4 linked regions of the Caenorhabditis elegans genome follow. The protein of the gene in region 1 interacts with the protein of each later gene in a pairwise test. Each region holds a gene or a part of one and is shown on either strand. Other genes may lie near its edges.

Region 1 (7,940 bases):
TTCCAATTTTCAGTCATTTTCTGAAGCCCGGAGCAGTTCGAATCGACCATTCACTGAACATGCCAAACCCAGAAATTGAACGAAGTGCATTTTTGAATCCGGATGGCTCAAAAGTCGTGGTGCTCCATAATAAAAATCCTTTGGCACCATATAGTTTATCAATTAAGGATACTATGAAGTCTACTGATCATTATCAAGTTCATTTATCACCTAAAACAATTGTTACGTTGTATATTCAAAATTAGAATAAAATATCAATTTTTTAAAATTTTATTTTTGAAAAATTTAAAAAATCGTGTTGAAACCTGAACTTTTAGTGTAAAAATTTGAATTATTCATTCAATTTCTGAAATTTTAAGCCCCATATCGACTAGAATCGGTTCACTTTGAAATTTGAGCCCCGCGGCGCGGTCGCATCGCGGTCCAAAACTACTAAAATTTAAAAATTGTTTAATACATGCCAATATGGGTGTTAAATGGATGGAAATTTTTAGAAAAATTCGAAAACATGCATAAAAAAGTTTAAAACTATAGGTAAGATGAGTTTTCGATTTTCGACCGCGACGCGACCGCGCCGCTTTCAAAAATTTAAGTTTTATATTGCCTCAAATCATAGCATTGCAGGTGTCAAAGTGATGCAAAATAGCTTGAAACTTAAATTATTCGAACAGACATCCTCTAAAAACGTGGAAAACTTTTTATCTAGCGACTTTTTAGTCTGGACCGCGACGCGACCGCGCCGCGTCCCAAAAACCACCAAAATTTCAAACTGCTTCAAAACATGTCAATATGGGGGTCAAATTGACGCAAATTTTATGAAAAATCCAACAATCAACATGAAAACTTATTTAATAAGCAATTTTTGTCGAAAAATCCACTAAAACTGTGAAGTTTGAATATACAAAGTGGTAATAGCTCGATGTGGAAGTGTAAAATGATAGTGATTACGGCTATCAGCAGCATCCTGGACAACTACTGTGTGCTCCGTTGAGACTAGCTGAAAATTTAGAAATTTTCGGCTGAAAAGTTGGACTTTCAGCACAAACCGAGCCCTTATTGAGCATTACAATAACTTTTGAGCCATCAGGATTCAAAAATGCGGTGGTTTCAACTTCCAGCTCAATTACATTTAATGAGTGGTCGATTCTTACTGCTCCAGGCTTGATGAAGTGACTGAAAATTAGTTATTGCGAAATCCAGTGTTTTCGTGAATTTTTAGATGGTAGAAATTTTTTCTGAAAATTTACAGTTTGAAATTCAAATTCTCCGTACTTCAATTAGTCTGATTCTGAATTTTTAGCTCAAGTTTCGAAAATTGCGCCAAGTTCGGTGTTTTGGGGTACCGTAGTCGGTGTTTGCGTACTTTTGGAGCTACAGTAACCCGGGAATTTTCAAAATTGAGCTAGAAAGATCTAGTTTTTGAGACTCAATCTAAAATTTTGCAGGAAACTCGTATTTGAGCTCAAAAACTCAAAAAATTTCAGAATTTCATCGATATTCAGATGTTTTTGTCGTTTTGGTTAGGTTCCAAAACAATTCTCAGCATTTTTAATATCAAATTCAAATTCTCCACTATTTTCTTAGTATATCTGTGAATTTTTAGTTCAAAATTCGAAAATTGCGTGAAATGCGGTGTTTTGGGGTACTGTAGTCGGTGTTTGCGTACTTTTGGAGCTACAGTAACCCTCGAAATCTCAAAATCGAGCTAGAAACTTCTAGTTTTTGATTTCAAAACTAAAATTATACGAGAAATTCGAATTTCTGTTTGAAAACTTGGAAAATTGCGTGTTAAGCTGCTTTTCAGACAGTTTTAGAAAATTTTCAACAAAAATTTCCCAAAAAATTTCAATTTTTATATTTTCTAGATCCAATTTTAACGACAAATTCTAATATTTTAGTTATTTCATGCAGAAACTAATAGAAACCTACCTAAAATGTGCAATCGCATAAAACATGGGCTGCTTGTAGAATTGAGCCATCGCTGGGAACGCAATGACCGGCGCATCTGTGTAGTCGGACACCCATGATGGACCACCCAGGGCGTCTAGGATTAGGTTACGTTCTGTCCAGCCAGTCATCCAGTTGTTCATGTTCTGGAAAAAAATGTAGAAAAAAAAATTATGAAAAAAAAAATTTGAAAAAAAAATTAAAATTTTGAAATTTTTTTTCCGAACTTTTCCCCAATTTTCTAGAAATTTCTTCAAAACTATATTTTCTCTTACATCTAAAATATCTGAAGCAGTATCTGCTGCACGATCCCAATTTCCATAATCCACGTGGGTGTCCTTGGACCCGTAGCCTTCGGAAGCCTGAAATTTTGGGCCTAAATTTATTTTTCTGCCTAAAAACTAAAATTTACCTCAGTGCCTAAAATAAAAAAATTTGGATGTTTTTTGTGAGTCTCATCCAAGTGATTATCAGTTTCTCCGTCTTGATATGCGTGAACCCCGATACCGCCCACGTACTTTGCGGCGTCCATGTCGTTTAGAACCTGGAAATTGAGAATTTTGAGTATGAAATTCGAACTCTCCGTAAAATTTGCAAAATTTTAAGCCCCATATCGACTTTATTCGGATAAGTTTGAAATTTAGGGCTTGCGGCGCGGTCGCGTCGCGGTCAGGTTTTCATAAACTTGTTTTAACGTAGCCTTGGGCTTTCAAAACATGAAAATTTGAATTTTTCGTGAAATTTGCTGAAATTTGACACCCATATCGGCTATATTCGGACAAGTTTGAAATTTGTGGCATGCGGTGCGGTTGCGTCGCGGTAAAAATTCTACCAATTTTTGAAAACGCTCGAAATTGTTGTTAAAAACAATTGGTTGCTGCAAAATTATTATCTATAATGTCTTGGAAGCGTACCAGACGTCACAGTTCGCCCCAGCTCGATATGAAAAAATTTGACCGCGACGCGACCGCACCGCAAGTCCAAAATTTCAAAATGATCCAAAATAGGTCAATATGGGTGTCAAAACTTTGCAAATTGTACGGAGATTCCAAATTTGACAACATTAACTTACAGTATCTGCCCATTTCGGCAAGTTTCCTCGATTATCGTCCAGAATCAGAAGTTTCACATCTTTTCCAGAACTTGAAGCAGCCAGGGCTGGTCCCAAGTCAGTTTTTATGAAATCTCGTTGTGTTTCAGCTGTGAAAAGTGTCGATTGTATTTTATTCTTCTTATCGGAGCCTAATGTTGGCTGGTTTTGAGTTGAAAGTCCCCAGAATGAGATTCCAGATTTTCCGTACTCCTCGAGGAATCTGAAATTCGAAAAAAAACTCTGATATAGTCTGAAAATAGTTGAATTACCTGACAAAATATTTGGCGTATGCCTGATGATAGTTATCCCCAGCTTTTCCGTTAAGAGCCCCAGGTCCTGTCATTTCTTTAGTAGTCTTAAGCCATCCTGAAATTATTGAAACAATTTTTTTCTTAGGAAAAACAGACAATTTTCGAGCGTTGGCATTTAAATTTCCGAATTAAGCGCAAAATTTTCGTTAATTTGACACCAATCTCGACTATAATCGGACAACTTTGAAAATTAGGCAGATGCGTTGCGGTCGCGTCGCGGTCGAATTTTCAAAAGTGTGTTTAGAAGCGATTATGTGATTTGCAGCTAAATTTTTTGAATTCTCCGTAAAATTCGCGGAATTTTGATATATTGACTATATTTGGAAAAGTTTTAAATTTAGGATATGCGGTGCGGCCGCGTCGCGGTCCGGAATTAGAATTTCGAAATTTGTACCAAAAGTGCGCCAAACTTGTGTTTAATCTAACACAGAAAAATTTAAATACTGCCAAACAGCAGGAAACCCTGATTTTTAATCAGTTAACGCTCCACTTTATTTTCTGGGCCGCGACGCGACCGCGCCGCATGGCCAAAAATTCAACTTGCACCGAATATAGTCAATATGGGGCTTAAAACTCAGCAAATTTTGTGCTAAATTCAAAAATCTTAGTGAGAAACATTACCTGGTGCTGCCCACGGAGCTGCAAATAACTTCAAGTTCGGATTGTACTTCTGCGCGTTTTTGATGTATGGGATCTAAAAATTTTTAAGAGTAAATTTAAAGTTGCGTTGAAATAAACTCACTTTCCACTGGAAATCTTCCTTAGTCAAATTAAAATTCTGCATTGAATAATCATTTGCGACATCGTTATAACTGTAAACTCGACCCGAAAAATCTGTGCTGGCTATTGGAACTCTACCGAATTGGAGGTTAAGTCCTGGAAAAAAATTCAATGGAGCGCACTTGCAATACTGAAAGTTGTAGAATTTGAAATTTCCTAGCGAATGACATATACTTAATTTGAAAATTGTTTGATGTTGCAAGTGCGCTCCACTGAACTTTTGGAATAACTTTCTTCAAATCGGTTCTAGAGAGTTGGGGTAAGAGAGAAAACTGTAGAGAAAATTGTGATCTATCAATTGCAATTAATTTCAAAATTTAATTTCCAAATTTGCAACTGCGCTCTACTGAACTATCGACGTAACTTTTTTCTCAGTGGTCCTAAAAACCTAAACTTTTTTGCAATTGGCCAGTTTCAGCTTAAGCTGTTTAAAAAATGCTAACCTGTATCCGAAAAATATTGTTTCATAATCAAATCCGACAATTTGTCCGGCAAACTCTTCAGGTTTGCACCAGAAGCATCGGAAAATGTGGAGCCAAATCCTTGGATCGTCTGGTATTTTTTGGAGGAGTCAATTGTCATGTGCAGGGTTCCGACTGAAAATTTTAGGGTTTTCAATTCAAAAATTAGAATTTTTGTAAAAAATTAGTAAAGGAACATTTTTTTAGGTACAAGGAAAATTTATTTTAAGAACAAAAAAAAATTCAAAAACTAAAAAATTTCAAAAATATTTTTTAAGCTTCGAAAATTTTTTTCAAACTTGTTTCAGCTGAAAATTCCACAACTCACATGGCTCAGTATCCGTCGCATAGATGACATCCCTGTGGAGCCGGGCGCCGGTATGGGAGGTGGTGTAGAGTGCCGCCTGACCCATAGTGATGTCCAGAGGTGGAATCTGGAATTTTTATACAATTTTTTGAATTTTTCGTGAAATTTTGGTTCAGGAAAGTGTCGGATTTGGCTTAAAGTAACAATTAAAATTAAAAAAAAGGGAAAAAATTTTCTTTTGGAAAATTACCTTTTTTTATTTTTTGAAAATTTTAGATTAAAAAAAAGCGACTGGTTAAAATGCATTTTCATGGGGATTTTCGAGTTTCCCGTGAAATTTCCTTTGATTTGACACCCATATTGGCTATATTCAGACAAAAACTGAATTTTGGTCATGCGTCGCGGCTGCGTCGCGGTCAAACTTTATAGACCCCCTTTAACCAGTTTTAAAGATTCTTTTTGGATAATCTCAATCAATTTTACTTAGTTTCTAAAAATCCTTGCTTGATTCATTGGTTTCTACAAGAATTCTAAAATTTTCAAGTCCGACCGCGACGCGACCGCGCCGCAGGGGAAACTAATTCAAATTTCAAATTTTATGAAATATGGCCGATATTGGTGTTAAATCAACGGTAATTGCGAGGAGAATTCAAAAATTTATATGAAATTTTCATAACAATTTTGGTTTTCAATTTTTTTTCCAAAAATGTTTTTTTTTTCAAATCTCACCTCATCGCAAGAATCGAGACTACAAACGCATACTGTTCCGGTTTTAAATGTTTTTTCCGTACAATCAGCTGCCCGGACACTATCTGAAAAGCGGGATTTCGGAGTGTCGTAGTTCTTGAAAAATTCGACCTACCAACTCCAAAAACCGCTAAAAATATGAAGATTTTCAATAAAAATCGTGACTTCATTTTGTGAAAAAATGGCACAAAATGACGACTAAAGTCTCGTAGTTTTGGCGTTTTTATGAAGTTTATCAGTGTTTCTTATCAGTACCCGGTTCATAGAACACGTGGTGGAATTTACGGAAATTGTGACGATAGTTTTGGAACATAGAACAAAATATGATTATAATTAGGTAAAATTTTTGATGTCAAAAGTTTTTTTGCAAGAAAAATCTGAGTGCAAAGCGAGATTTTGTACAATTTCAAGTTCAAATTCGAGTTGCTCACAAAATTCCAGGCAGGACCCCTGAAATTAGAGCTTTCTAGCTCAATTGTGAAAATTCAGGGGTTACGGTAGCGCCAAAAGTACGCAAACACCAAATTTCACGCGATTTTTGAAATTTGAGCTGAAATTTTTATTGTAGACTAAGAAAAACACGGAGAATCCAAATTACATATTTAAAAATCTGAGCAATTTTCTTAAAAATCAGAAATTTGGCTGAAATTCTACAATTTTGAATTTTCACTCAAAAAACCCGAAAACTATTGATTTTTCAGGGGAAAAAACCAAAAAGCATGAGAAGTGAGCCCAGTAACCATTAAATTCCAAAAATTACAATTCGAGGGTTACGGTAGCGCCAAAAATACGCAAACACCGCCAAAACATTGAATTTTACGCTCACGGACCGACAAGTGGTACATCCATGCAAACGCGCTCTACTGATAATTTGAGTGTAGACCAGGTTTGGGCGCGTGATAACGAAAAAAGCTTTGGTCCAAAAAATTTAGAATTTAATTTCGGACATTTTTTATATGCATCACAAAAAAACTGGACCAACCGTTTTTGAGATACTTGCGCCCAAACTTCCAGGTATACGGTAGACAAATTGCGTACAGGTACCACTTCTCGGGCCGTGACGCTGAGATTTGGGTCGTAGAGGAAAATTACTATAATTTCAAATTAAATGCTTAAAACTTTTTGAAAAACTTGTCGGAAGTCATAAAATCCAATAATTTTGAAAAAATTGCACTATTAAAACTGGAAAACTGGATGCAAATTTCTCCAATTTGATGGCCTTCGAAATTTGAGCCGCGACGCGACCGCAACGCAGCTTGAAAATTATGTCCTTCTGGTCTTCTTTTTCGCGCTCCATTGATAATCGCCGCCGGATAACACGTGGGAAAGTCGTGGGAAGCCAAGCCGCGACGCGGCACACAACGCGCCGTAAATTTACCCCGGCAGTGGCTGAGTCAAGCTGGCCTAATTCGGCAAACTCTTACATTTCAAAATATGAAGAAAATTCACGCATATTTTATTTTCTAATGGAATTTTTTAAAATAAATTTTGATTCATAAGCGTGAAACTTTAAATTAAAAAAAAAAAATTTGAATTTCCAAAATTCGAAAAACAGATCAGTTTCCCGTGACCCCATAAAATCCCTGCCACCTCACCAAAAAACCCCACTATATAAGAAGCGATTTCCCTCCGAAACAATCAGTTCAAACTATCAAAATGAACACCATCGTCTGCCTGGTTGGAGTTTTCCTTCTGGTTTCCGGTAAGTTTTTTGTTTTTTTTTTGTTCAGGCTTGTTTTCCTAAACAAGAATAATTTACAGCTCCATGTGCGTATTCGAAGAAGATGGCGAATACTGACCTTCTTGAAAAAGCCAACGAAATTTTTCAAAAAGAGTTTAAGGATGGTAAATTGATGAGTGAAGGGGAAAATAGTTTCTAAACCTCAGCCTTATTTTTTAAGGTGTTCGACGAGAAGTTGGTGCATATTGCAATGGAGACTGCATGTGGTAAGCCTCCCAAAGATATGGGCATCATCACTCTTGGGGATGGATATGTAAGTTGAATTATATTTTCTAATTTTATATTTATACTATTTTTTCAGGAAGCCTCGGAAAACATTGCGGCACATCATGACCGAGTAGCTTGTATTGAGAAAATATGCGAGAGCAAGAAAGCTACAACTAGCATCTTGTGTGTTGTTGCCGCATCAAAGTGAGATTTTTATTTTTTTCCCCGCTTTTTTAGTTTCAAACGAAGATTTTCTGGCTTTTCTCATATTCTAGGCCATGTTGGCTCGGCCACAGCTCGCGTCGCGTGTCGCGTCGCGGCGTTTTCCATTGCCAATGGAGCGCGA
Region 2 (3,436 bases), 4.6 Mb from region 1:
GTTAGTTTTTTTAAAATCAAATATAAATCTTCAATTTCATAGTTTTTAGGTTGACATGGTGTTCGGAGAAATGCAAGGAAATCCAATCTATCAGGATCAATTCAAGCTTCCAGTTACAGAGAGCACATCATTCAATATTCATGTTATCAAGGCACCTGGTTGTGATATTGAAATGGATACGGTAACAAACGTTTTGTTTTATTCAAGCTTAACTTAAAAATCTTCAGCGTACTTTGTTGTGGAATGACTACAATGCTGCAGTTCCAACTAATATGTGGGAAATCGGAAAATGTACATTCAACTTCTTCGATGAATAAGTGTCCTATTGTATTATGATTTGGAATAAAATAATTTAACAACCATTTTTCAAAGTTTCGTTTTTTTGAGGACTGATGGGCAATTGGCAAATCAAAAAGTTCAAAATTGAATTATAAGATGTGAGATAAATATAATTAAAGTAATACCCCATGACTTATTCCTCATAATCATAAATATAAGTTGGTAATAAAATATCTGTTAGAAATTTGACTTTATTTGGACATGCAATAATATAATACATCAATATTCTTTAAATAAATATTCATAGAGAAAAGACAATCTACCGGTAAATATATATATACTTATTCGCTCTCATTATCATTTCCATTGTCGTCATCCACACTATTATCATCTTTTCTGACAACTTTCTTGTGCTTCATTCGTCGGTTTTGAAACCATGTTTTAACTTGAGTTTCACTCAAATTGAGAGCATTTGCCAATTCAATTCTCTCAGGAGTACTCAGATATCTGAAAGTCTGATTTAGAATACTAAACTCGGAATGCATTTTTGGTCACCTTTGGGATTCAAATCTTCGTTCCAATCCTTGTAGTTGCTGATCACTGAACACTGTTCTTGCTTTTCTTCGCGAACTGAAAACAGAAGAATAATTATATTTGATAAATTTCAATCATTACCATTCCAACCTCAATCTTCTATACGCTTTAGTTGCATTTGACAATCGAATCTGATCAGCTGTTGACCAGAATCCAGGAAAAACTCCATTTCGTTGAGCCAACAAGAGACTATGTTCTATTGGAAACGCTGCTGCTGCAAGCCAAAGCTGATCAGAAAGAGCAGGAGTGATTGTGGGAGTTAATTCATTTGTCAATGGAACTGACATTACGGATATCGATGATTTTTCTGATCCCTGGAAGTAAACCGATAGAGTAATTTTTGATGATCAAATTTACATATTTTATTGAAATATTACTTGTTGAATTTAAGTAATTGTGAAAGAACAAGCATCACATCAAGGAAACAAAATATTTTTTAATGAAGTTGCGACTTATTTTGAATCAATTTTAAAGAAATCATTGACCAAAGGCCAAAAAAAACGGAAAAATTATATTTAAATTCAATTTTGATAATTGAGCGAAATACATTCCTGATATGTTTGTTTAAATATTTGCAGAGTGCCTATGGTGACTACAAAACCCAAACGAGAAAAATAGTTTAAGAACATACCTCATCTGAACTTGATTGGGGAGTGGGCGATGTTTGATCAAGCTTCAGAATTCTTTGAATTTCGTTTGAATGCCCACGAAGAAGATCATCAATTGAAAAACTTGATACAGGAGTTATCATTTTCAAATAAGTTTGAAGATTATTTTACGGGAGGTAAGATTCTCGTGTAAATGAGCTAACACGGTAATATGGTGCTCCCATAGGAGCACAATGGGTGGAGCTTCAGACGGCATCGGAAGGGGGCGGAGTCGGCGAATAGAGATGAAGGTCCCGTGAAAGACGACAAGGAGAAGAAGAAAAAAGAGTTGATGAGAGGGATAATGATTGTGAATGACAGTATTGCCGTAGGCAATATTGTAGGCGGTTGATGAAAGAATAAACAACCACTTAAGTGACGATGAGCAAAATATGGAAATTGATTGTCTCGTAATGTTCAGTACTAGAATAAAATATTGAAACTAATCAGTTGTGTCATTTTCGATCAGTCGTGTATTATGATGACGTGTTCATTTTTTGTATATGGTCTGGAGTCTTCTTTTCTTGCCAGTTTTGATGATCTGGAATAGTATATCTAGCATATAGGTGAAATTAAAATTCCAATAAAAACAAAACGTAATTTACATAATGTTTTCAAACCTCAAATATCTCATCAAGAAATTGGAAAAGCTTAGCAATCAACTCAATTTCTGAAAATTTTCAAATGGTCTACAAAAGATTCTTGGCCAAATACTCTAGAAGTATTAACTTGATTGACAAAATAATTTTGATTTTGCAAACTCTTCAAATTCACTAACGATGTAAGTCTTGTACTTATTCTTAAAATTTTGTACTTATTCAGGCATGCCTACTACGCACCTTTCAGTACTTTTGTGGTAGACAAAGGCCACAGGCAGTGTTTGTGCCTACATGAAAAGCCTACTTACAGCCGTTTTCCACTTTTGGCACAATTCGACCTCTCATGCTCATCATCTCCCTCTAATTACGTGTTTATGTTACAATACAATGCGATTGAGCCAGTACAATAACAATAACAAGTGTGAACGTGTTGAGAGCGACACGCGTCTAGTAATAGTCATTGTGCAACTGAGCAATTTGAACCTTTCCACAGATGTTCACCACTTCCCCAACAACTTGTGCATTTTTTGTGCATATCACTGTACCCCTTCAAACGTTTTAAAGCTTGGAGAGAAAATAGGGAAAGACGACTGGCTGACCTGACTAAACGAAGAAATTGAGCATCGAGTAACGAAGACTATTATTGCATTATAGACGGCAGAAGCGCTAGAAGGCTTTTAACTTATTATGTTGAGTAGACATACTCACACAAACTTATTAGCAACAAGAGGAGTAAGACCTGCTGTGCAAAATATTGTTGCCACGTCATCAAATACAAGACAAAGAATATTAAGAAAAGTTCCTTCCGTTTACATGTCACACTTAATTATAACTGGCTCTATGGGTACTTTGAACATTTGACACCTCATGACTTGCTCTATTGTTTCTTGAGTCACCGCAAAAAGGTGTCCTGTGGTGAGCTCCAATGTAACATAGTTCCAGAAGAATTACTTCATCATCACTCCTCCCTCATACTCGTGGTGTTAATACAAAAACTTATGCATATGCAATACAGCAATTATTCCCAATTAGTTAGCGGATTTCACTACCGTAGAAGAAGTAGTCGTTGTATTGAAGCTTCTATTTCATCACAATTGGCATGCTGTTTTGTCGGTATATAGCTCATCATTGAAAACGCGCTCATTATTCTTACGAAAATCTGTGTGATTTTAGTGGAAAACAAGATTTGATGAGAAGATGTTTTGCAAATTAGTGAGAAGAGAATTCTGCAATTAATGAAGGATTTTAAGCAAAGGAGATTTTTCAGAAAGTAGAAGAAAATAGTTATTAAACATTTGAAAAATTCAGATTCAAATT
Region 3 (5,111 bases), on another chromosome or scaffold:
CGGGTGGGAAGTGCGGGAGCCCCCCTCCCGTCCCTCAAGGTAGTCTCGTAAAACAATGTGACTAAAGCTGATGAGCAAACACAAATGACCATCTCCTTTGCCTCATCCTTCGCCACTTCTTCGACGATTTCGCGAAACAATAAACACGCCTCCGATGCACGAATTGACTCTCAAAATGTGGAACTGTCGTTGCCTCCTTCACTCCTCCCCAATTGCGCCTCTTTAGCGGTTCGTTTGTCGAGAAGGGACGTGTTGATGGGAAAAACACGAACTTTTTTCAAGTACTGATAACACTATGACCGGCTACCGATGTGCTCATCATAGAGCACATGATGTGATGGGGAAAAACAGGGAAACACGAATAAAAATAGAGTTGCTTTGCATTGGCATATTTGTGACTTGTTTTCCTTCATAATGGTCTGCCATATAGAGGTACCGAAAAAATGAATGCCATGACAGCTGTTTAAAACTCTGTACAAGGGCTGTGCGGCAACCGGCAACCGATAGTTGCGGGATGCCAAACATTTTAACGTTCGGCAACTCCGGCAATTGCCTCGCACCCCTGCTTTGCACCGCCAATTGTGCGATTCTTTCTTGAGCGTACCTCAAGTTGTTTCAGGCCTGAAAACCGGAATGACTGCAAATCTGGAATAAAACTCCTGGTGTGCAATTTTAAGTTAACGGACAGAAACCATACAATTCGAGAAACTCTGTTTTGTGCTTAGACGATTCTCTTGCGGGATGAGTCTAATTATATTTATTGATTTTTTTCTTCTCAATAAATGAACATATAACTAGCCAGAATTTTCAATTTTCGCCTAGTTGTCACTAAAAGCCTAGAAGATGGTTGGTTATCCTATTTTTTTTCTGAAATCTGTGACATCACACTACAATCTGCAATAATTTTCTAGGAAGTTAATAAGTTATATTGCTTAAAGATTGGCGTGATCGTAATGACTGATAATTTTTTTGGAAAAACTTTTTTTTTTGAAAAACAAATTTTTGATGATTACATGTATAAAACTCTACAAAATGTAAAGCTTGAAATATTCCAAAAAAAAAAATAATAGAGCCAGCTAATTTTTGAGGGTAAATTCCAAAGAACTGAAATTGAATTTCTAAAAAAGTAGTATTTTTTTAAATTTCCATTCGTCTGAAAAGGTGAAGTGAAGTCGAGTTGTGATATCCCAAAATAACTGTTAAAAAATCAAATAAAATTCTCTAAATTATTTCTGAGTTTTCAATTTTGCACAACACACAATTAAAATCTGGCGGATTAGTATTTAAATTCTAGCGCAGAATGATTGGCCTAGTTTTGACATTTCCGCGTTTTCCTGAAATCGGCGATTTTTGATTTGTCAACTTTTCCACAAAAAAAATTATAAATGAATGTGAAAATTACCTTGTTTATTTTTGATAAATTGGGGAAAAATGAATAATTTTTTTAAAAACTTTAAATTTTTCAATGCGACCTTTTTTTAAAATGTTTCCTGTTCAATTCAAATGATTTCATATAACTTCTTTTTTTAACCCTTCCGCTCAACATTATTAAACCCAAATAAACTTTTGTTTGCCACAAGATTGCAAGATATCTGCCTTTGAATTTGCCATTTTTCGCAATCTTGAATGCAACACAATTGTAACACAATACTCATGTAAACGCAACAGATTGCATGAATAGTGGAGACACAGACATAAGGGAGCTTCTCCGGCTTCTTTCGCATCGATTGACGAAGAGAGGCTCACTTGTGCTCAGCTCTTTAATGTTCCCGTGTTTTGCTGTTTGACTGGAGATTCTTTTGGGAATTAGTTTTTCTGCAAAGCAGACCGAAACGGTGGAGGAACGGTGAGAGTTTGTTTTAAGTCTAGGAAAAAGTATGAGTTTATAATTTTTTTTTAATGAAGTTAAAAAAAAACTATATTGTAAAAGGAATTTTACTGACAGCCCGTTAAGAAAAAATACAAAAAATTAAAACGCTTATTTTCTGATGTAAAAATAGAAAAAACAATTTTCCCATTAATCCTTATTCCTAAATTCAGGTAACGCTTTCTACATGATAAGCGTCACCGTCGCTGCTCAAGGGAAGCCGAAACGATTATTTGGAGGAAATTTCAGAGTAAGTCATTCTAAACAGTGAAAATATGCAAATTATTTGAATTTTTCAAATCAGAGATTTATATTATAACATTCCAAGATTTATGACACAAACATCCATAATCGTAAAACACTCGAAAAATTGAAATTTGAGTTTTAAATACCATATTTTGATAAACGGTCAAGATAAGGGCGAAGCAAGCAACATTAAAAAAAAACAGGCTCCGCTTAAGATTTCGGATTTTCAATTAATTCCCACAGACTAGTCAAATTTTCAGGCATACGGCAGCGGTCGCCTTTCAATATGTGAACTAGAAAAAGACCCAAACGCCTTGAAAAGCGATGAAAAGTAAGCTCTCCTTTATCCTTCTGTTCCAATAATAATTATCACATTCCAGAAAATTCTCATCTTCAACGGTCAAGGTTTTCTTATTTGTGAACAAACTTTTCGAGCTGCTCACAACAATTCTTCATTATTGCATGCCGTACTTGTTCACACAGAAACAGCAGTGGTATCGTCCAGCTGTGCAAAAAGAGGAAATAATTGTAGAGCCGATTGCTCAGGTATTTTTTTAATTAAAATATCAATACCAATAATTAAAACTTTTCATAGGATTTTGAAAGCCACATTCTGGCAGATGTATTCAAGTATTTGGATATTGATGACCTGTTGAATTGTAAATTGGTATGCTGGAAATGGAACGCTACAATTGGAGAAAATGCGTCCGAACTTGCTAGAACCAGAACTGACCAGGTTTTTTTAAAGTTTATAAGCTTAAACATTATACATTTTCCAGATAAGAATTTTGTTCGATGAAGGCGAAGTTGTGGTATATCCAATTGACGAAAAGAGATGTCCAGTCAGGCATCCGCTTCCACCATTACAGGTAATTCAATTGTCTGTACGTATTGGATTCAGAAAACTTTCAAGCATTGCGCAAAAATTTCATAATTTTATCCCAAAAATCCTAAAATTTGAAAGTTGAAACATATTGTAATAACAGGTTGTTTTGTAAACACGAAATGAATAGCTGTACTCATCAGAAAAAGTTACCCGTCTGCTAAAAAAGTCTCACTATTTCAAATTTGAATCCGTATTCCAGGTTCTCCGAAACCGGCTGCGCCATTTAACCACACAATCTTTATTTGTCCGTGGCTTGATTCCGGTGGAATCCGGCCCAGTTTTACGGTTACTTTTAAGCTTGACACTTCAACCACAACAAATGTATTTTATCTGGAGCAAGTTTTCAGCTGATTCCATATTTTTGGTTTGTATATTTTAAAGTTAATTTTTTTAAAATTTAAACATTTTCAGTTTGAAGAACTGGTAAAACAAAACTCAGATACTGTAACAGACTTTGGACTAGAGGAATGTTCCCCTTCACATCTACTCACTGATCGTCTTCTCTCGCCAATTCTGAAAAGTTAGTTGCAAATTATATTTTTTCACAAAAAACACATTTTAAAAAATCAATAATGCATTTAGATTTAACATCTCTCCGTTTGTGGAACAACGGGAAAGGATCACATTATGGTGTGACGGATGACACGCTAATTCGAATCAACGAGTAAGTCTTTGATGTTTCTGCAAAAGAAAAATTTGACCAAATTAGATGTTCACAGTGATCACTTTTATCATATTACCTAAACGACCATAACAATCGAAATGACAGAAATGACAGAAGATGTCAATTTGATTTTTCGCATTGAAAATACCTTGTTCATAGCTTGCAATAAATTTAACGCGTTGACCACATCATCACCTTTGAAAAATAAACTTGAGGACAAAGTCTCATAAATAACTAAAATTGTTTTTTGGTAATGCGGTATTTAAAACAATTATTGTGCTAGCCAACAACTTGTAATGTCCTGATAAAGAAAATTAGCGCACCGATCAAACTTTGTAATGCACTGAAAACTTTGACCCTGACCAGATTTTTCCACAAAATTCAATATACCAGATTTTTTACGAGATATCAAAATTTATAACTTTGCAGCGCAATTCTAAATGGATCTCCAGTGGAAACCATTGATCTAGGCACATGCTTCCTATCAAGTGAAGCTGTATCCCAAATTGTGCAAAGCTGGGAGCAAACTTCAACCAGCGACTTGACCATCATGTTGAGTCATTGTTATCCGGTCAACAAGTGAGTAAACACTCCATTTTTTTCGGTTTTAATTGTTCTAATGAGTACTTTTCACTTTGCAAGAAGTGTCTTTTGTTTCAATTTTCTTTGAGACTTCCTTGTTTTACGCGGTTTGAAAAAGTTTAAAAAAATACCACCGAAATAATTCATTGCAACAAAATCACACAATTTTTCAAGATCACAGTTATATTTTTTGCAGACCGGATGTGATCCGACTTCTACAGGATCGTAATATCACACTGAAGAAAAATCAACAATTACATTCCAAGAACCATATGCTGACACTTGTCTGTTAATGAAGATTATAATAAAGAATCAACACGTTATTACATTGAGGGATATGTTGTTTAATTGCCATTCTTAGATCCTCTGTAGTCAACTTTCTTGCCGTACTTTGAGTAGAATGTGACGGTGCATTGCGTTTTCTTTCCGGTTCTCTGAAATATATTCAAAAAATATTAAAAGCCTTCGCCGATTGACTAACCTCATCGAATGCATTGCAAGTACTATATGGAGGGATGTACAAGTGAAGAGAGACAGCTCCGTTTGAGTGACTCAAATTTTCCATTCTATGAAGACCAAGCTCATCTGAAAAATTGCAATGAAGTTGTTATTATGTTCCTAGCATTGTTTTCAAGTTTAGGCAACCATGTTGTAAAAGACAGATGCATTAAGTGTTTTCAAATATCTTACCATTCATATAGGAAACTCCATTCATTCCATAAGTCTTATTTTCTGAAATATCAAGTGGCACGTGTCGTTTTCTTGGCCAGGCATATTTGGTCTCAGTGAGCTCTCCATCAAGAATTTTCACAAAGCAATGAGCATCAGTATGATCGTGAACACTAAATTTCGTAAAATGAATGTTA
Region 4 (4,671 bases), on another chromosome or scaffold:
GCAGGTGACCCGCATGTTTGCACACACCAAGACCATGCACTCCCTTTATCCCAACAGCTGCATGTGTTGTGTTACAAAAACAGTACTTACGAAATGACTTTTGTACCATCATAACACATTGTCGGATTCAGAACAACTCCCGAGTGATCACAGATTTTCCTTCCGAGTCGGTCCCACGTTTTTGCAGAAAGTTGAAGCTGTAAAAATTGAATGATGATTGTTATCATTATGCAATTGGTGCGCGATGCACAAAGAGCACGCCGACAACAGAAACTGACCTCTCTCACGGCTCCGTCTCCTCGGGAAACGAACGGTCCTGGCGACTGAAAGTGAACAGAGTGCTTTGATGGATGAATGATCATCTCGCCAAGCGGACCGCACGAGTTGAACACGTGCTCCGCGTAGACATATGACTTGCGTTCGATGAAAATTCGAATTACAGAGAAGATGGTTTTCTTGAGCTGCAAGAATAGATAAAATCATGAGGAAAGGGGTCGGATAAAATAAAAACGTGATTATTTGAAACAAGATGTCATTATAGTAATGATTAATGATGTTCAGAAAATTCAAAAACTGAAATAAATAATATATAAATAATTTATTGCAAAATTCAAATTGTCTCGTTATGTTTTTTCTTCAAAAAATGATTTTTATTCGAGCAGATATTTAAATAAGATATAAGATATTTGCTAATATAGTTTTTTTTATTTGAACAAAAGAATTTACAATTATGAATTACAATTTGGGTTGATTTTATTTTTTTAATTTTAAAGATGTGGTATCGTCAGTGGAAGAGTTGCTTGAAACTGAATACAGTGCTAAAATGTACAAATATCATTCTAAAAATTTTGAAAAAGTATTGACAATTCCGATGTCAACTATCATAATTTTAGATGTCGGCCACAAAACATTTTTTTAAATAACATTTTAAATATTTTTATCTAAATATACGCTTCTTCATATCATTTCTTAAAAATGTTTTTGTCACACTTTTAGAAAATTAAACAATAATTAAAAACTTACTGATAAAAACTCATCCAAAAAAGACTTCTTCGTACTCGTCATATTCCTCATCAGATGCAATTTGGCTGCCCACTCTCGAGAAAATTTCCCAAAGCATTTTTCCATTGAGTTTGAACAAGAAGTGCTAAAGAAAACATCAAAGTAAGATTATTTCAATTAAAATGTTATCTTACTGGCAAGGTGTGATTCCAGCCATTGTGCAATTGCATGGCAATGTATGCACGTATTCTTGAAGACACTCATGGGAAAGTGTTAAATTGTGAGCGTTCATAAGTTGCTTGTGCATGTCAACGAGTAGAAATTCAACCTTTCGATACCGGTATATGGCTTCAGAAATTCTAAATGTAAAAACATGAAACTTTATTTTAAACAATTCAAATCTTACGTCATAGCCATTTTATTAGGAGTATTCCCTAAATAGACCGACCAGTGTTTTGTACTAGCCATCATACAATTGTGATAGTCCAATGGAACTGTTCGACACTTTCCCACTGACAAACAGAGGAACATATCAGGAAGAATTGCACTCAAGAACTTTTGCACCGCAGTAGAGACTTCATACTTGATTCCAGTCAAGGAAATCGCCTACAAAGGAGAAGATATACCTAGATTATTTGTATTACTATCTGTTTCTTACGTTTTCTGTCGTTAAAATATTCCTGAACGTTCCAATCATCTCATCGAATGAGTTTAAAAAGTCGGTGTAGTTCAAAAGTAATGGGTACGTGGACCGAACTTCTCGTAATGTGACAAATCGTATAAAATCTAGTAGATGCTTCTTTTCGCCTGCAAAATGGAAAAAAAATAATTTCTCACTACTATTTTCGGAAGAAGTAATGTTATACATTAATAGAAATTTAAAAATTTTTTGAAATTTTTCAAACTGTTCGGTCAAAGTTTTGGTATGTTGCCAAATTATTCAAAACAATTGTTTTTGACCGTTTTAGCAGGCCAAAGATACCGAACGCTCAACTTTTAGTTTAATCTGCCCTTTGTTTGAACCCCTAGAGGGTTTTAATTTAAGTAAATTTAAGTAAACCACACTTTAAATCTCGTAGTAAATTATTGTTGGTACACTTCCAGCAAACTTTGTTACTGTAAATTTAAAAAAATTACAAAAACGTTTTTCTATGATCCCCCCCCCCCTCCCAAATATTTTTAACTCACCTGTCGTAAAAGCAATTGCATCGCGAAATGGTTCTACTAGCCTCACTTGCATGTTTTTCACTTCCACAGTGAGGGTATAGTTTCCCTTTTGTATCAAGTCATCTGTATTGCAGTCGCATGTATATTCTTCCTAAAAATTTAAAATATTGAATATTATTCCAAAAATTCTCAACTCTCTCTTTTTAGTTACTCAACCATAAATCTAATATAATCAGCGAATTGAAACTGTTTTCGCTTTATACCATTTCTGATTTTTCAACACCTGTCATCTTAAATACTACTAAATCAAAATGAATTTCCTTTATTTTCGGCTGTGGTCATCGTTAATTATCACACATATATTTCACCACTGCCAGTTATCAATCAACTTACGGAAGCGATCGAAAAAGAAGCCGCGTGTGTAATTGAAATTTACGACTTTCCAAAAATGGCATGACAAAAAGATTTATGTTTTTTTTGTTTTGGTTCCAAGTGTTTTACCACAGTTCCAACTCTAGATACAGTATCTTATCGAAAACGTTTTTTGTCCTATCAAATTGTTGATGTTTATGTTTCTCATGTTACCTAACAAATTTCAAAGTGTCAAAACTGAATGTGAGATGACTCAACAGATAGAAAGGGTCCGCCTGCTTAGATAAACTCTGTTGATAAATGTCGGTCATTAGCTGACATAGATTTATATTTCGGCATGTTGGAGATTGAGGACGGATAGAAAAACGAGGAAGATAAAACTCACTGTGGGTTCTTCAAGACTTGTAGAGTTGGTGAGAATATCGACAACCACCACTTCTTCTGCAGGTAGGACGGACCGGTAGAGCAATACAAAAAGAATGAGCCACCGGAAGACCATTCTGAAATTTTGAATATGTAAGCGAACACCTCAAGTGTGAAAAATGAAGACAGGTGAGTCGTTAAGTTAAGCAAGAGAAATTGCAAAGTTGCTGCAAAAATATAAAAGAAATTCCGCAAAAAAATAGTGTTCAAGGTTGGAGAGACGGTGTGAGTGTGTAGAAGCGTTTGATCGACAAATAAAGTTATCAGCAAGTACGGAGCACAAGTTATGTCATAGTCTGTATCTATCTGTTTCCCCCCATCACTTGTCGCTCTCTGAACAACTGATTGCAAGATGGGGAGGAATCGAAAAAATGAAGGGCTCACCGGATGGAAGAAGTGGGCGGTCACCGAAGAGGAATAGGTGGCGGGGTGGATAAAGACCTCGGGGTGCGAGAACGTGACAATCAGTTTGCCATTTTTGAAGAGAGAGGGTGACAATGTGTTGCACAAGAGGTGGAGGAAGAACGCATTGGTGAGAAAAGTGAAATTTGCGGTGAGACAGCGATCTAACAAACTATGGGAATATGGAAAATTAAACTTTTTGTTTTTGAAATATCTTTTATTGTTTGTTTCTTAGTTTTGCACCCAACTACTCCATTTTTAAGAGTTCGTTTCTAGGTTAGCTGGCAAATTGTTTTTATTTGTTATTTTGTAGTTTTGCAGTGCTATCGGTGAAAATAACCAGGTTGTCAATTAGACTAATGGTGTGCAAAACTGAAAGATTGAATGTATTGAAAGTGGTAATTTTTCAAAATACAGTAATAATAGTCCAGCATTAAAAAATATCAGAGATTAAGAAATCAAAATGTGACAGAAGGATGCGGGCGAGGAGATTTTAGATTATTAGGCAGAATACGGCCAGAACTATTGTGTATGTAGGCTTATAAAACATTGACCATTATATTTTTGATTGGATTCAGAAAATAATGGATAAAAACGGTATAAACTGGGAAGAACTTAATACTTTTTTTGAAGTTACGCAAAAATTTGATGATCGGCTGATGGCTTAATGCCACTCAAAGTTCGTAAAAAGCTGTCTGGAAACTTCTACTTGGATCAAACAATTATTGTTTTTCCCGCAATACCTAACAATTTTGATAACGTTAAATCGTAACGTTTCACGCCCACCGACCCTTACCGAGCCTAGACACCACACCTAAGTTGTAAAACAATGGAATGTGGTAGGTGAGAATTTGGAGGAGAAAAACTAAGCGAACAAGAACAAAAAAATGAAACGATGGTTAGTGCACAGCTGGTGAACACACGGGAGATTGATCGCCTTGGCAGGGCGAACATTTCAGGAAAATGAGAAATGTCTCTACTCATTGAACACGAGACTCTCGCTTCCGCTTTTCTATTTGACAAGTTCAATTTCGAAAATTTTTTGACTGTCACAAGGTCAATGAAAAGATGTGCCGGTTGAAAATTTGATGTACTTTTGTTTTCATTCTGAGGTCAAGTTATTAAGTGAGCAATATACATTATCCTCAATACTTTACAGACGTGCATTTTTCCAGCGCTTAGAATGGAACCATTTCTCCTTTAAAAAAAACGATGTGATCCAAAAACTGAATGAGCCACTATTAAAATATAGTCTCTCTACATTCGAATAAAGTTTTTACAAATTATTGGAGCAGTCGAGAGCAA

Evidence for each region.
Region 2: the proteins of gba-1 (region 1) and tab-1 interact in a two-hybrid assay, tested with the Caenorhabditis elegans proteins (one large-scale study listed by BioGRID).
Region 3: the proteins of gba-1 (region 1) and F56F10.2 interact in a two-hybrid assay, tested with the Caenorhabditis elegans proteins (one large-scale study listed by BioGRID).
Region 4: the proteins of gba-1 (region 1) and lon-2 interact in a two-hybrid assay, tested with the Caenorhabditis elegans proteins (one large-scale study listed by BioGRID).

Annotation. Positions count from the first base shown.
Region 1 is NC_003280.10:2,174,823-2,182,762, reverse strand, and holds gba-1 (Putative glucosylceramidase 1), read right to left. Parts: upstream 6,023-7,940; 5' UTR 5,817-6,022; coding exon 5,762-5,816; intron 5,712-5,761; coding exon 5,629-5,711; intron 5,027-5,628; coding exon 4,921-5,026; intron 4,728-4,920; coding exon 4,575-4,727; intron 4,228-4,574; coding exon 4,094-4,227; intron 4,046-4,093; coding exon 3,973-4,045; intron 3,407-3,972; coding exon 3,310-3,406; intron 3,261-3,309; coding exon 3,020-3,260; intron 2,492-3,019; coding exon 2,360-2,491; intron 2,310-2,359; coding exon 2,223-2,309; intron 2,094-2,222; coding exon 1,930-2,093; intron 1,174-1,929; coding exon 1,047-1,173; intron 998-1,046; coding exon 878-997; 3' UTR 253-877; downstream 1-252. Other genes in the region: gba-2 (Putative glucosylceramidase 2), read left to right, coding at 14-245; C33C12.7 (AMP-binding_C domain-containing protein), read left to right, coding at 7,489-7,491, 7,548-7,640, 7,689-7,798. UniProt on the Caenorhabditis elegans protein: Glucosylceramidase that catalyzes the hydrolysis of glucosylceramides into free ceramides and glucose. C.elegans contains specific sphingoid bases, which are unique or different in structure compared to the sphingoid bases found in other animals.
Region 2 is NC_003280.10:6,801,946-6,805,381, reverse strand, and holds tab-1 (Homeobox domain-containing protein), read right to left. Parts: upstream 1,682-3,436; 5' UTR 1,625-1,681; coding exon 1,505-1,624; intron 1,188-1,504; coding exon 955-1,187; intron 910-954; coding exon 835-909; intron 787-834; coding exon 621-786; 3' UTR 519-620; downstream 1-518. Other genes in the region: F31E8.5 (DUF4091 domain-containing protein), read left to right, coding at 50-181, 228-317.
Region 3 is NC_003284.9:857,894-863,004, forward strand, and holds F56F10.2 (F-box domain-containing protein), read left to right. Parts: upstream 1-1,721; 5' UTR 1,722-1,846; intron 1,847-2,040; 5' UTR 2,041-2,054; coding exon 2,055-2,117; intron 2,118-2,373; coding exon 2,374-2,444; intron 2,445-2,493; coding exon 2,494-2,659; intron 2,660-2,708; coding exon 2,709-2,849; intron 2,850-2,892; coding exon 2,893-2,982; intron 2,983-3,198; coding exon 3,199-3,363; intron 3,364-3,410; coding exon 3,411-3,519; intron 3,520-3,581; coding exon 3,582-3,663; intron 3,664-4,092; coding exon 4,093-4,242; intron 4,243-4,373; exon of another isoform or gene 4,374-4,441; coding exon 4,442-4,538; 3' UTR 4,539-4,568; downstream 4,569-5,111. Other genes in the region: cdo-1 (Cysteine dioxygenase 1), read right to left, coding at 4,590-4,679, 4,727-4,830, 4,936-5,087.
Region 4 is NC_003284.9:4,746,043-4,750,713, forward strand, and holds the start of lon-2 (LONg), read right to left. Parts: upstream 3,042-4,671; 5' UTR 3,041-3,041; coding exon 2,927-3,040; intron 2,321-2,926; coding exon 2,191-2,320; intron 1,810-2,190; coding exon 1,661-1,809; intron 1,609-1,660; coding exon 1,409-1,608; intron 1,362-1,408; coding exon 1,197-1,361; intron 1,148-1,196; coding exon 1,024-1,147; intron 462-1,023; coding exon 279-461; intron 198-278; coding exon 91-197; intron 1-90.